2 linked regions of the Struthio camelus genome follow. The protein of the gene in region 2 purifies or fractionates together with the protein of the main gene of each other region. This does not show direct contact. Links are inferred from orthologs where the notes say so. Each region holds a gene or a part of one and is shown on either strand. Other genes may lie near its edges.

Evidence for each region.
Region 1: the proteins of NEK2 (region 2) and ANAPC4 purify together in Homo sapiens (affinity purification with mass spectrometry; 6 studies listed by BioGRID and IntAct, with this or other methods). This does not show direct contact. The link is inferred for Struthio camelus from reciprocal best matches to the Homo sapiens genes NEK2 and ANAPC4.

What each region holds. Positions count from the first base shown.
Region 1 is NC_090945.1:67,043,055-67,050,712, forward strand, and holds the start of ANAPC4 (anaphase-promoting complex subunit 4), read right to left. Parts: upstream 3,182-7,658; 5' UTR 3,085-3,181; coding exon 2,977-3,084; intron 2,331-2,976; coding exon 2,225-2,330; exon of another isoform or gene 2,206-2,224; intron 1,095-2,205; coding exon 962-1,094; intron 1-961. Other genes in the region: rRNA N6-adenosine-methyltransferase ZCCHC4, read right to left, coding at 3,975-4,110, 5,401-5,545, 5,963-6,014, 6,558-6,633, 7,311-7,432. UniProt on the Homo sapiens protein: Component of the anaphase promoting complex/cyclosome (APC/C), a cell cycle-regulated E3 ubiquitin ligase that controls progression through mitosis and the G1 phase of the cell cycle.
Region 2 is NC_090944.1:113,862,309-113,869,470, forward strand, and holds the start of NEK2 (serine/threonine-protein kinase Nek2), read right to left. Parts: upstream 3,205-7,162; 5' UTR 1,143-3,204; coding exon 966-1,142; intron 802-965; exon of another isoform or gene 750-801; coding exon 532-749; intron 1-531. UniProt on the Homo sapiens protein: Protein kinase which is involved in the control of centrosome separation and bipolar spindle formation in mitotic cells and chromatin condensation in meiotic cells.

The sequences.
Region 1 (7,658 bases), on a different chromosome or scaffold from region 2:
AATGGGTCTCTGTTTAAACTCAACCCCACCCCCACTGCACCTGCGCCTCAAACAAACTTCAATTTAAAGATACATGTCACAGTATGAGGAAGACTAAAGCACAGTACTTAACACCACAGCTTAGACATGCTGGAAGGATGAGATTCCCTATAAGGAGACAAATCCATCCCCATGAAGAGAAAAATGCTAGACTGATTTAAGATGCATTTATTTTCTTACCACGTTTAGATTTGTACTTTAAGGAGGAGAGAATTCCCAAGTGAGGCCCCCTCCCTTTTTCTAATAAATTTTTAATTATGGTCTTGCACTGCAACGAGGTACATATCAGATGGTTTTGTGAGATCACAGAAACAGGGACCACAGTGCCCGCGAGCTCACAAGTGCTACTGAGAACTGCGTAATGACACACGCTCACAGTCACTAGGAGCGCTGTGACATCCTGAAGCAACTGTACCCATCATAGAACCGCCAATGGATTAGGATGTAAGAACAAAGGCAAAACGTGAAAGGAGCAAGCACCCTACCAAAGCACCGAAAACACTAATGAAGATTTAAATATAATGCTCTCCCCGATTAACAAAGCAGATGAATATAACAACATTATTACAATTAGTTTAATAAATTAACACATTAGTGGGTATCAAAGTAAACTGGATCAGGAGGCAGGCTGTACAACAATACATCAAGTTACCACTGGATTAAGCAAGCTCTTAACAGGTGGATGCTCAACGTCTTACTGAAATATTTCTGGCATAAACTAAAAGAACCACAAGACTAAGACTTCAGCACTACAAATAAGCACATTAAGAAGTATATTCTAATAAAAAGGGAAAATTTTAACAAAGTGGTGAGGAAAAAGACAGCATTCTTTTATTTAGCCACTTGTAACACACTAACTGTAAATTATTAGTAAGATAGTACTGCACAGCCTATGTTTATGTGCAGAGTTTTTCAGACCTACCTGCTTTCTTCGGTTACTTCCATCCAATGCATGTAAGTAATAGAAGAGTCCACTGCAAAGGAGTGTAAGCTTTCAGGTTTTTCTACATCACACAGAATAATCCGCTTGGTATCAGTTAGGCCAAAAGCCAAAACTAGAGAAGAAAACGTAAAATATATAAATAACCAACATGCAAAACTTTGTATTTTCTTTATGCGGGACTAGAAAACAGTGTTCCTTCAAAGCCTACTACTGGACATCTAGTTGTCTCCTTGTCTTTTATCTACTGTGCTTCCAAACTCTAACTTGAAACCTACTCACTGGCACTTCTAGCATACTAGCACTCCTAGGTTTGAACTCCTAGCATATTTTTAAGTAACATATTTAGGTCAAAAGTCTGATCCTACAATTATTTATCTGCATGCTGAACTGAAGTACACACTTCTAACTACAGGGCCTCAGTTTTTGCAAATTTAAGGCTGAAATACATTTAAAGACCATTCAACAGCAGTTTTGGTTTTATTATAACAAAGTAAAATTGTAGACTTGCTGAACAACATTTGCATCGCTACCTTTTTTACCTCTATTTATCTATAAAAACATACGGCAGGCATACGTTACTGCATCCACTTCCTTGTAATCACAGGCAACTAGCTTAAAAAAAAGTTTCTTAAATTCCAACGTAAAACTAAACAGGTAGTACTTGCTCATGTCTTATCAGAATATTGTTCCCATTCTCACTCTTCCAATGGGTCCAAAAAAAAATCAAACTACTTTCCAACATATACTTATTAAGCTACTAATTTCAATGTTATCTCCATCTGTAAGACATTACTGTCTTGACAGACCTTATTCTACCAAGGAAAGAGGTTTTTTTACCTTCTCTGGCATAATATTAGAGAGCAATTTTCACCTCTAAAATTTAGCCTTTGACTAAAGAAGCCAGGCTCTTCAGTCTGTCCTGATTTGTCTCTATTCTCCCAATGAATTTTGTAGTACACGTGAAAATATTCTGCTTAGTTATGAACTGGAAGCTTTGATATACCTTGGGAAGTAATATTATTGGACATAAATTCACTTTGCCAATCTTTCTTGCAATTGCCTTCAGCAGTGTATCCTTCCTTATAGCTTTGAATAAACCTACATAAAATTAAGCTACCCTTTTCTTCAAATACAGTTTACTTGAAAATTTCCTTCAGAGACAAGAGGTATCATCACCACAACTTGCACTGATTTCCAACAGGATTTTTATTGCAACATGTCACCTCATATACTTCACATTACTTTTGCCATCCGGTCTCCAAGCAAGTGCAGTCACTTCTTTTCCTGTATTTTCATTTGGAGGCAAACTCCAAACTCGTTGGAAGTTTGCAAGCCGATGAAGTAAAACCTGAAAAGCAAACACATGAAGGATTAAAAAAAAAAAAATTATTCCCCCGTTAATTGTAGCTTGTAAATCAAATCAAGATGAAAATTTTTACTTTTCTTTAATAAGTCCTACATCTCAAGTGGTGTCGTCTTCTCTAGCAGAGGAGTCACTCCTAGGTCATTTTACAGGACGCTGCTCGCAAGGCAGCAACAGAGAGACAAACTGTGCCCTCTACAGACCTAGAAGCCTGCAGCCAACACAGGTTCTCTCTCCTTCTCCAACACCACGTCTCCACCCCTGAACACAACCACCACTTCCAGGAAAAAAAACACTGCAAAACTGATGTAACTGAAAAAGGGGCCCTTTAAAACTGCACAGATGCAGGCACTGAGAGTCTCACTGCTGAACGCGCCTGGCAATTTGAACAAGGCAACGAATAACAAGCAATAAGCAGCTCGACGAACATTTTTTGTTATTGGTAATTCTTGCAAGCTTGGCCAAACGCTTATGTCACGGGTAAGGGAAGCAGCGCCTGCACACGACCACGCAAAGGCGGCAGCGCTTCCCCTCGCTGCTCAGGCCCTCCCGCCTGCCGCCGCGCAGGCCCCAGGCGGCCGCCCCGGCCCCGGCCCCGGCCCCGGCCCCGGCCCCGGCCGCCGCCGCTCACCTCCCCCGCCCTGTTGGCCAGGGCGATGAGGTCCCGCTTGGGAGACCAGGCCATGAAGACGACCTCCTGCGGCAGCTGCTTCTCCCCGACCTGCCGGAAGGCCGGCATGGCGGCGGGGCGCTGCCGGCCCCTTCCCCTCTCCTCTCCGAGCGCCCCGGCCCCGCCGCCCGCCGGCCGCCCGCCTGCCGCCCTCCGCTGCCGCCTTCCGGAGGCGGCGCTTGCCCGGCGGCCGGCGGGCGGGCAGCGCGGGCCGCCTCGGCGCTTCCTGCTCTGCCCCCGCCGGCCGCGGCAAGGCCGGCCCTTCCTGTCTCGTCTTCCGCTAGTGCCCGCGTATCCGCCGCAATCTGACGATGGGGGTTCGTTTTTAGCATAGCTCCCGTCGCTACTGCAGCAGCGCCGATCTCAAAAATATTAAAACTCATGATTTTTTAAATCCAAATCGTTAAACTACTTTAAAAATACCACGAAGCATACTTGCTTAGTAAGCAGAACAAAAAGACCTGCGCCTGAAGTACTTTCAGCGTCCTTCCTCAGGCTTCTCCCCCTGCAAGCATCTGGAGAGAAGAACTGGAAACCAGCACGGTACTCTGAGCAGAGGGGAACGAAGTGCGAGAAGGAGCCTTAAGAATTTGTGCCTTTCCATCACCCATCCTCGCTTACCCCCTTGCCCCAAATTCCCCCGTACCTCCCACAAAGCCACAGCATTCACTCACTACCTAGTAGCCAGTTTAGCCTTCCTGACCTCTCCCCGCTGCTCCCCTTTTGACTTCAGATTCCAGCTAAATCAGGCAATAGCTAATCCTTGCCACACGACATTGTCACACTAAGCAAATACATAGTAAGAGAGTGGTTTATATTGCATTTTTGTCAGTAATGATGTATAACATAAAAGGACTGTCGCTTTGAGTTCAATCAGGTTTTATTTTGAATATTAATATTAACACGGTCAGAATATGGAATCAAAGCAGGCTATAAAAAAAATTTTGGGTCACTTTGTATCAACAAGGAAGGCTGGGCCTCTTCTTCTTCTTCTTTATTCTTTTCCTGGCGAATATTGCATGTTTCACAGCTGATCTTTTACAGATCCCCATCTTTACCTTCTTTGGAGTCTTCTGCCTTTTCTTTTTGTCAGTTCTGTAAAGCAAGAAAGAAATGCGCAGATTAAAGCAGACAACATACACCTGCATTTGCTCGTGATATAAATAAGCTGTCCATATAAGCATATGGACTGAGAAGTACTGTCACAAAAAGTACAAGGGACATTCCATTTTACAGTAAATTTATGACGCAAGTGGATTGGTTTTGGTCTCTGACAAAGGACGTATTTCATGACACAAAACACTGTATAATTTTAAATATAAATAAAACATTTACAGATGTTTTACCTAGAAAAAGAAATCTAAGTAATTTTCTGGAATAAGAATAAATTAGCAAAGGAACTAACCGATGGCCTGAAAGGACTAAACCATCACAACACAAAATATGCCTAACTGAAGAAACAGATAAGGTTTCACTATTTTCTTATAACGTCCTTTTTACTTTTTTTAAATAAAGAACTGTTAAGGGAAGGATTTTTCAAAAGGAGAGTTGTAAATATCTTATCTATTCATCTATCTCATTACATTTTAGCTCTACTACTCTATAACCAGAACTCAGAGTAATGTCATAGCAGGACATGAAGCAATGCACCTGTAGACCAGTACCACCTAGCAAGTACCCAGTGAACCTCCTGAAGCTGATCCAATAGTTCTGAATCCCTCACTATGCAATAGAGATACGTCTTTTGGGAGTCAAAACTTACTTCTACTGCTCCATCCATTCAAGTTAAGAATTACAAACAAACCAATACGCTCTGGAGAGGAAGTTAGAAAAGTACTAATACAAATACTTAACATGTCCTTCATTAATAAGCTCTTACAGGTTGGAGATTTAGACCCTACCACAGAGAGCACCTGAGGTACCAGACGGAACAGTAAAAGACACTAAAATAAGCAAAACAGGAATCAAGAAAAAACAAAGTAGTGACTGCAGTCTCTGCCCTTTGGTGAGGAATTTGAAGGAGCTAAAAAAGTTTCATTACTTCAGATTAATTTTGAATCTTCTTGACAGAGGTATCTCCTATGCACCATTCACCAAGTGTTGAATCTAGACAAACCCTTACAGTTAAGGAATTAGGACACATAGTAAGTGACCTGCCTAAATCATGCTGCTTTTTATCGTATGCTCCTCCAGTTGACATATTTCACACAGAGCCTCTGCAACAATACAGCAAACAGATAACAGTGAAAGCTGGTATCAGCATACAAAGCCTAAAATTCTCTCTTCCTATAACCATTTTCATGAAGTAAGAATTACCTCCCATCTCTGAAAGCCATCTTTATAATGGCTTCATTAATATAATTATTAATGCAATATCAAACTTACTGGCAAGCTGTTTTAGTGAGGGAGAGCCTGGGACAGGAATTGCGCTTGTGACCTGCTTTGCCGCAAACGAAACAACCAGCTTCAGTCCTCTCACAAGCATGGTCTTGAAGAGCACAGCAATTGCAATTACTACAGTGAAACCAAGCTGTAAAATACGTAACAGGATTTATGAACTTGAAAAATGATCATTTTGAAACCAAGCTTTAAATAACTTTTAACACTTACCTATGTGTTTATAAAATTCCCATTAAACACCACAAATCAAAATAAGCAAGCTGTTCCGTAAGAAATATACGTGGAATTTACTACTGGCCTTGAATTTAGGTGGCCGTGACTTAACAGGAGTTTATCACATTTCCACATAGCGGAAACCTACCCAATCAAGTTATTTGCTGGCAATTCATATAAAACTGAGATTTTTTTCCCTTTATTCTCTGTCTTTTGAATGATTAAGCTTTATTTCTTCTATAGCATATTTTCTGATTTGTCATCTCAGTTTCTTTGGATGAGAGCTTAAACAGTAAGCATACTTTTCCTTAGAAGAGTATTTTTCTGCACTTACACGGTTTGACACATTTGTTGCAAAGAGCACAATGCTTCCATCGTCTACCATCCTATAAATAAGAGAATGAATAAATGCATTGTTTTTTCTTAAAAAAAATCCAAACAAATAAAAACATTGATTGTGTCTTAAAACTGAGCTCATGACATATGTTCCCATTTATTTTCAGAAACAGCATATACATTGTGGGCAGCGCGAAAACAAAAATCCTGAGAATCTGTGACAACCACAGCAGAACGGCTACATTTTGAAGTTAGCAAGTTCTTCAACTTCCCAAACATAAGAAGAAAGGTATATGTTAAAATAAAGTAAAAAAAAAAAAAAAATCCACACACAATGAATAAGGTATATCACAAGGGGCAAGTAACAAACTTTTACAGTCCTCCTCCTAACCCAGAGGTGTCAGGAAACAGGAATTAATTCCCAGGGAGTTGTGAACGATGTCCTATGAAGTTAATAAAAAGATGCCTGAATGGAACTGCTTAGGGTTTTCCAGTGAAATCAATACCAGAATAGCTTTTTACCAGGGCAAAAATTACAGAAGTTATACGACTACTGCTAAAATTGCCATCCAGAAAGAAGTCAAAGTACTTACTTTTGATGTACATGAATTGCATATCTCACAGTGCTGGTTACCAGAGCTAACATATCGCTGACAGATAGCACATAACCTGGAAAAAATGAAGTTACAAACATATTGGTCCAGGATTTGCTCAAGAAACTACACGAATGAGTTTTATATAAGCTCCACAGTAGAAGTAAGGATCGCAAAAATCACTTTGCTAAGTTTAAGATACTTTTTTTGAGTCATACAACAACCACTTCATACAACCAGAGCCTCATAATCATTTAAACACCTTAAGTACAAAACAGTAAAATTCAGGTGCTCAAATTCAAATTAGCAATATACGTTATCAGCAGCAAATCAAACAGGAAAAAAAAAGAAAAAAAAAAAAAGAGCTATTTGAGTTCCATCAGTAAAATTCCCCTGCCCCAAAACTTCTTTTAGTCTTTATGTTCTGAACTACTGTCTCAACCAAGCTGATTATCAGGGATAGCAGTAAATCTCTGTCTCCCACAGGCACGCACATTTCCTATGGGCTAGCTGAGGAATCTCTTCATTCCACACTAATTAATGTAAAACCCTTTTTTCAGGTGTCCAACTCTCCTATACCTTGTTTATAAAATACAGGAGCTTAGCCTGAGACAGCAGAAATTGCTATTGAGCCTAGCATTGAAAAGTTAGGCAATCTCAATACTGAACGTCACCATCCCAAAATCATGTTGAGCCTTTATGCCCCAATTAAAAACACACTCGCACATTCACTTGAGTGTAAAGACATCTTACCTATAACCCTCTTCGACAGGAAGTACAATCGTACTTGGGCTGATGTTGGTGAAGATACGAACAGGGGACTGTCTACGACCTGTCTTGCCATGTTTATAAAGTGCATGATTATCATAATCTACCTAGAAAATAAGAAAACAAAATTTCTACCTAGAAAGCAACCTTGAGTCTTAAATTCAATGCTAAGCATGGACACAACTTTTTCATATTTACTCTCTTTATAGATGTTTTATGAAATTCTCATTTTTTTTTATATAAAAGACTAACTCTTAGAGTACAAATTTTAAAGCAAGGGTTCAGTCCGATGTATTTTTAAATTTGTGCAATCATAATAGCAGGCTAGACTCC
Region 2 (7,162 bases):
TACAGACATCCAGAGTTTACAGTTTCACCTTGGTGTAAAGGGTCTACACGCAGGCATGGGAGTTTCTAACAGCATGTTCAAAATTGCTTTTTCCTTACAGGAACTTTTAGTGATGTCAGTCTAGAAAAGTGTATAAGCATTTTTCACTGGCAAACTAAAAGAACTCAGACTAAGCTCCTGATCAATAAGGTGTGACTCACTGTTTAAAGTTCTCCCAGTCATGCACAGCACAGTACCCCAAATCCCTTCACCACCTTCTGCCTCAGAAAGGGTCAATGTTCTTTACTCTTTGGATACAGAGAAAGAGCAATCCTATCACTAGTGGCATCCTCCAGCACAGTTCCCACCAGCATAGCTATTTTGTACAACCCCTTCACATTTCAGAAAAGTTGCTACATTCAAGAGATTAGATTTGAACATGTTAGGGGGCTATTAAGGGATGCAACCCCCCCCTTTCGGGCTTGTTCTTTTCATCACCCGAGATACTTTGCGCTAGAGACTCTAGGGCTGTCACAGCGGGCTCTCACGTACCTTTCCTTCGTGCACCGTGCGATGAGGCTGGCCAGGTCACCCCCGTCACAGTACTCCATCACGATGTACAGGGTCGTGCTGCTCCGGTCGATGATGCGATCGTAATAGCGGACGATGTTCGGGTGCTTCAGCTCACGGAGCAAATTCACTTCCGAAACAAGCATCTGCTTCTCTGCCTCTGTCATGGAGCCGTAGTCGAGCTCCTTCCAAACTAAGACCTTGGGGGGGGGGGGAAGGAAGGGAAGAAGGAAGGGGGGAAATTCAAAGAGACTGACACACGAAACAGAGCAGGGGGAGGACTGTTAAAGCCGCTCGCTTACGCCGAAGAGCCGCCGGGAGGCCGCGCATGCGCAGCACCACCGGCCCGCCAGGGCGAGGCGCGATGCGAGGAGCGGCACAGCCCCTCACCCTTGCCCCCCCCCCCCCCGCCTCACCTTGCCGTCAGCCTTGCGGCGCACCTTGCGGCACTTGCCGTAGGAGCCGGCGCCGATGGTGAGCAGCACCTCGTAGTCCTCGGGGCGGCTGGGCATGACGGCGCAGACGCGGCCCCCGCCGAGCCGAGCCGGGCCTCGGCACCTGCCGCGTTTAAACGCGCCGCCCCTCCCGCCCATTGGCCGGGCCTCCCAGCCCCGCCCACGCGACCCGCCTTCCCATTGGCTGCCCCGCCGTAAACAACGCCCGCCAGGTAACGGCCGTTACAACGGCCGCACCGCGGCGTCAGGGAGCCATCGCGAGAGCTGCCGCCTGCCCGCCGCTCTCCCTTCCCCCCCCCCCCCCCCCAACCACCCTCCCGGGGGGCGGCAGCGGCGGTGCTCTGCCGGGCCGGGGGGACGGGAGGGCCCTCTCCCGGTAGGCTTCGGAGAGCGAGGCGCGCCGCGGGTATCCGCGCTTCCCGTCAGGCCCGCTGAGGGACGCGGCGGCCGCCGGAGCTCCCCCTCGCTCGGTAACTTCCTCTCGCGGAGGTAGTCCGACGGAAGCAATCCCGGCCGCTGCCGCTGGGCAAACCCTTCGGCTCAAATGGGTGGTAAGCGCTGGCGAGCCTCTCCGGCGAAGGCCCAGCGCCCCCCCCCCCCCCCCGGCTGGATGGGGACGGCGCCTGGCCTTCCTCTCGCCCCCCAGTGCCGGCACAGGGGGCTGCTGGAACAGGAAGCGATCAACGCGTGGGGCGCTCGGATAAGCCATAAACATAACGGGTGTAGCGGTTAAAACAACAACAACAACAACAAAGATATTCGTAGCGAGCCAGGAAAAGAGACAGTCTTCCAGGAAAAACAATAAATTACTGTTCTCCCCTTTTCTAAAATAAATGTAGCTGTTGAGCAGATGCTGGTCAGAAAATTGGAAGAGCTTAATGGAGGGTTTTCTTAATATTAACAAGCATTAGCAAACTGAAAGTGCTTAAAATAATAAAAATTTGTTTCTGAAACATTCCTTTAAACCAATGAGGAAAATTCTTCATGATTCTTCAAGAAATTCTTCAATAAAATTATTTTCAAAAGTCATACCAGCTTTACTATTATACTGTATACAGATAGCTTTAGAAAAGAAGCCTAATAAATCAATAACTTACAATGTAATCCTTTTAAAACGGGAATATAGGCCTCCGATTCCAAAAGATGAGTCAGTAGTTTTAATATATTAGATAACATTATGGGGATATTTTTAAAGGTATGTAATGTATTTTCTAGCATTATTTAGGGTAATTTTGGAGTGATACTGGAGCGGAGTTCTGGTTTCAGTTCTGCTTAATCCCTCTCCTTGTGGACGTGCCTGTGCTTGAGGCAGCGACTCCTAGTTCTTCAGCAGAGTATTATAACTCACCAGTATAATTTCTGGATCAGGCACAAAAGGGAGTTGTTCTCAAGCTTTCAGCAACGTGAGAGATTTTCAGAACATGGCCGGAGGACAGAGTAATATCTCATATCGCATCTACACATGGTCCCATTAATCATTTCCCCATTTTGTTTCAAAAGGGTTTGAGGGGCTTAGGGGGTCATGGTGTTACTGAATATTTATAAAATATTCTTATATTATTAGCCTTCAGAAAAATCTAAGCCATTACTTTCACCAGCAAGAGGCACAAAAGCTCCTGTTATCCATTATAAAGATCCTATAGCTTTCTATTCACAGATAATGTTTGTTCATTACAGAAAAAATGAGCAAATGAATTATACAGTGTAAAAACATTTTAACTTTGTTAATGAGTAACAGGGTGCTCTGAATGACTCATTTTAAGTCTGATTTTAATTACCTTAAGAAGAAGATCCTCATCATTAGCATCATAAATAAAATATGACATTATGCAATAAGAATAACAAAAAATACTGTATTATTAGGCAGGCTGTAAGCTTCATTTCTGATTTCAGATATGTCTCAGTTTCAAACTTCTGTACTTTCAAGCAAAAGGTCATGACACGTTCCCACTGTTATGAAAGGGAGTCTTTCTATTTGTATTTCAAAAGAAATAGAGTAGGTTTTGAATACTGTGTTTGCTCTAGGGGCTATCTTGAAGTTTTCTTTAGGAATGTAAGTTTGAATCAGAGAAATGTCAAAATGTCATGCTCCAAAGACCAGCAGCATAGTAATTTTAGTTCTGATTACACTTGTTTTATTTTAAGAGTTGGGTAATTTGAGAAAAATTCTTTTTCTAAAAGCAATCAATAAAAATTTCAGGAGGTACCCTGTTTTCTTTCCTTCTGTCTGATTTCCACCCTGGTCATATGAGAGAACCCAAAGAGTCCAATGTTTCCAAGTATATATTTGAAGTTTAAATGGAGGCCTCTCTTGTCACATGCTGTATTTTTAATCTCTGATGTCTAGTCTAGAAGCAACTCAAGTTTCTAGTCTTGAAAGTGCACGTGCTGACTTCAGGTCTTTGAAAGCTGCCAAATAGTTCTCAATAATCCATTTTTAGTGTTGTTTCTAATGTTTGATTCTGCTTTTTCTCATCAAATTTCATTAATCATTTTCCAAAACTTAACAAAAACCTAAGATTCTTCTGTTACTTTCTGCCAAAGTTTGTCAGTTTTTGTGCCATAAGGTTCCTTTTCTCTTATTCCAGGTCATAGTTATTTGATAAAATATTAAATGCTGAAGATAAATAGTAAGATCAATGCACTATTTCTTATAAATATTTTAATTTTTGTGCATGGAAATAACTAACAATAAATGCCTAACACTTTGCTGTGGGAGTCCAGCCAAGTATATCTATATAGATAATATTTAATAGCAGCCTAGTTTTTTAAAATACTATAGCAAATTAAACTACGTTTCTGAGAACTTTTCTGGTAATGAAGCAAAAAAAATTACCTAGAAGTACATGTTCAGGAAGAGAAAAGAAGCTCAGTAGGAAGTACTGAAAGTAAACATAGAGGATTATAGTGAACAATAATACACTTTATAAAAATAACTAGAAAAATATCTGAGGAAAATCCTGTCTTGTCTCTTCAAAGAGGTGATAGACATGTAAAATCATGTTTCTGGACCTCAGAAAGGTGCCGAGTCTTCCAGCCAAAAAGGAGGAATTGAGTACCTGAAAGATCTTAATAAGTCCTTTGAGTGACAAGAAGAGAAATTATAAATATTGGGATGATTGAGACATCAGTGTTTTATTTTAGTTCATCTTCTCCACGTGAGTATTTTGTTTTTTTAATATTAAATTGGATTTGAAGTCCTGACACGTAGTTATGGATATTCTGTTTTTTTCTTACATTTTTTCTTTTGCTCTTGTGCACAGAAATCTTGCATTTACCCAGGTTCATTGTACATAGATGACATAACATCTTTAACTCTGTTTTTCTAGTTGATGACTTTGTTGTAAAAATTCACGTCTCAGGATTAACAAACACACACAAATACTGGGATATTAGACAGCGGTACTCTCCTCCTTCAGACACATCCCCAGTGTGGCAAACTTTCTGAATTTAAACAGATCATTAGTTAAGCAGAGATTAATGAAGCATGGTGGTTGTGGATTTAAAAAACAAACAAACAAAAACCTTGTATTGTAGAATAAATTAATCTGGTGAAACAAAGTTCAGAACAGTCACTTTGTTTCTTTTAGGCCTGAATTCCAGAATGCAAGACTTCTTTCCAAACTCTTGACTAATGTTCTCTGGGTTTGTGGGATACTGCAGTTTACAGTATCTAGAATCAGAAAATTTGAGATATAATCAGAAGGAATATTGATTTTGATATCTGGGCCAGACATCCACATTGAACGCACTCACATATGAAAGATGAGAAGAACAGTCTAAAATGCCGAGGGACTTATCCATGGCATGTTATTAAATGTCAGAAAAAAAGTATCAGAGAGTCAAATTTCCTAGTATTTTTCCTGAGCTGGTTTGGGAGGAAACAAGAACATGTTCATTGAAGAAATTCTGCACAACACAGCTGTGGACAGGACAGCTAAGGAACAAAATTCAGAAGCAGTAATTATAGTGATTAAAAATACTATACTTTTCTTTTTTTTTTTTTTTTAAGTGTTAGGACTCAGAGCTATCTCAGACTCCAAAAGAAATGCGTGCAGCAGGCAAGCTTCAAAAGGGGAGTTTGTTGCAGCAGCTGTACCTTTATGGTTTTCCAATACAAACTAGAAAAATTAGGAAAATAAAAAACACATGAGTGAAAACAAATGCGGCAGCAGTGGAAGTTTTTGCAAGTACTGAAAGAAGAGCTAACTGCATGGGAATTAATGAGGAGGAGACCGAGGAGAGTAAAGAAGACATACTTTTGCATTCAGAGAGGGGAACATACAAATTTTACTGAATCCAGATTTGCTCTACCCATTGCTTGTATTCTATAACTGAATATTTAAATACCTGGCTGAATATTTTGAAAGTGTGTCATTACTTAGTTCTCTATCTTAGAGTGAAACTAACAGCCCTATCTACTATATATGTCTTCACTTATTTGCTAATTTTTAAAATGAATATTATTTACCTTATGAACAGAAGGTGTTTGAATTGATCTTTAAGGGTGCTTTTTAAACTGATTAAGATACTCATTTTTTGAGGTGTAAAGAACTTCAAAAGTCAAATTCCTGAGTAATCTTAAATCCTAAATTCACCAACAGCTAAAGAACTGCTGTTGTCCCTAAGTAAGAAATGTAGTATAACAATTTGTGATTTCCCTTCTGGGCTGTCTTATAACTCAGTCCATGAAAACAGACAGTTCGGTCTCTGTGCCTCAATTATCCCTCTTTTAAAGGGGAAGTAATGTACTTACCCTCCACGGTGAAGCTTATAGGTAGTACACCTCAAAATATTTGACTAAAGGATGCATTAGACAATACAATAGATAAATATATTGCTGGCCTCAACTGTCCAGTTTAAAAACAAAAAACAAACAAACAAAAATTTAGGGATTTCTTTTGTAGAATTGTTTATCTCAAATATTATTCCATGAATTTTTTTTTACTTACAGTCTCTTCAAATATATTGAGGTACAGCTTTCACCAGATCTGCATACAGTGTTATTGTCACAGGCATTTTCATTACCACAGCACTCATTAATTCTCTAACAGCCGTGACTATGGATACATGCCACCCATAAGAATAGTAGATTTTCCCCTATCTTGGTGTCCCTAAACTCAAATTACAAGAAACTGTTTGCTTGATTTTACACAGGAAAGACTTGAATTTTGGAGCTGCTGTGCACCTGTAACTCGAATTGCCTTAGCAGGGATCCTGGTATGCCAGTTTCCCAATGATGATACCAAAAAAAGAATTTAAAAACAAGACAGTCCAAATGTGACCGTCTGGAATAGTATTTTCCATTGAGAACATGCCAGTTGCCTAGAACTTAACAAACAGTTTTTATTTCACATAGAACTGATTTTTTTGTCTAGCTCCCTATGGAAATGGAACTTAAGTGACCATATCACAAGTATGTTTCTACTAGCCCTCCATCCCTCCCCCATTAACTTACTCCTAAAAATAATTACCTTCCTACACGTTCCAAAAATATAACTGAGCAGATAGAGAAGGAAGATCCTAAAGAGTTCAACTATGTTATTAGAGCAGAGAATCCACATGGATTATTATTATCCTTATGGATGGACTCACATTAATGTTGATGCAGTTGCAGGAAAATCTTTGACTAATGTGTGCACTCTAGACACCAGAGAATCTAACCATGCACTACAAATCCAAAGGAAAACAAGCTTCATTAGCTCCTCTGCTTACTGAGCTACCTGTTTTTTTAAGATGTTATCTATTATTCTAAAACCAAACTGAAATCAGGTCAGGTGAAATGTAGTCAGGTGATTACAGTGAGTAAGTGCTTTCATGTGGAGAAAATACCTGGTACTTACAGGCTCTTTAGACTAATGGAGAAAGGCATAACATGAACTAATTTTTGGAAGATGAATCAAATAGGTTACAGGAAAAGGCACATAATTTTAGCTGAGAGGATTATCCTGACCCATGGTAAATGCAACCATGTAGAAAATATCAAAAGTTACCTGGAAATATCTGGGACCAGGTTCATGCAGGACCTACTGCATGAAAGATCTCTATTCAGGGCTGATATCACCATCCTGGGGATTGCCTGTTCAGTAGCATTATTTACCCTAGGCCTATGACAAAGCACAGGAAAAAATAAGTCAAAAGGGTCACTGCAGCACAGG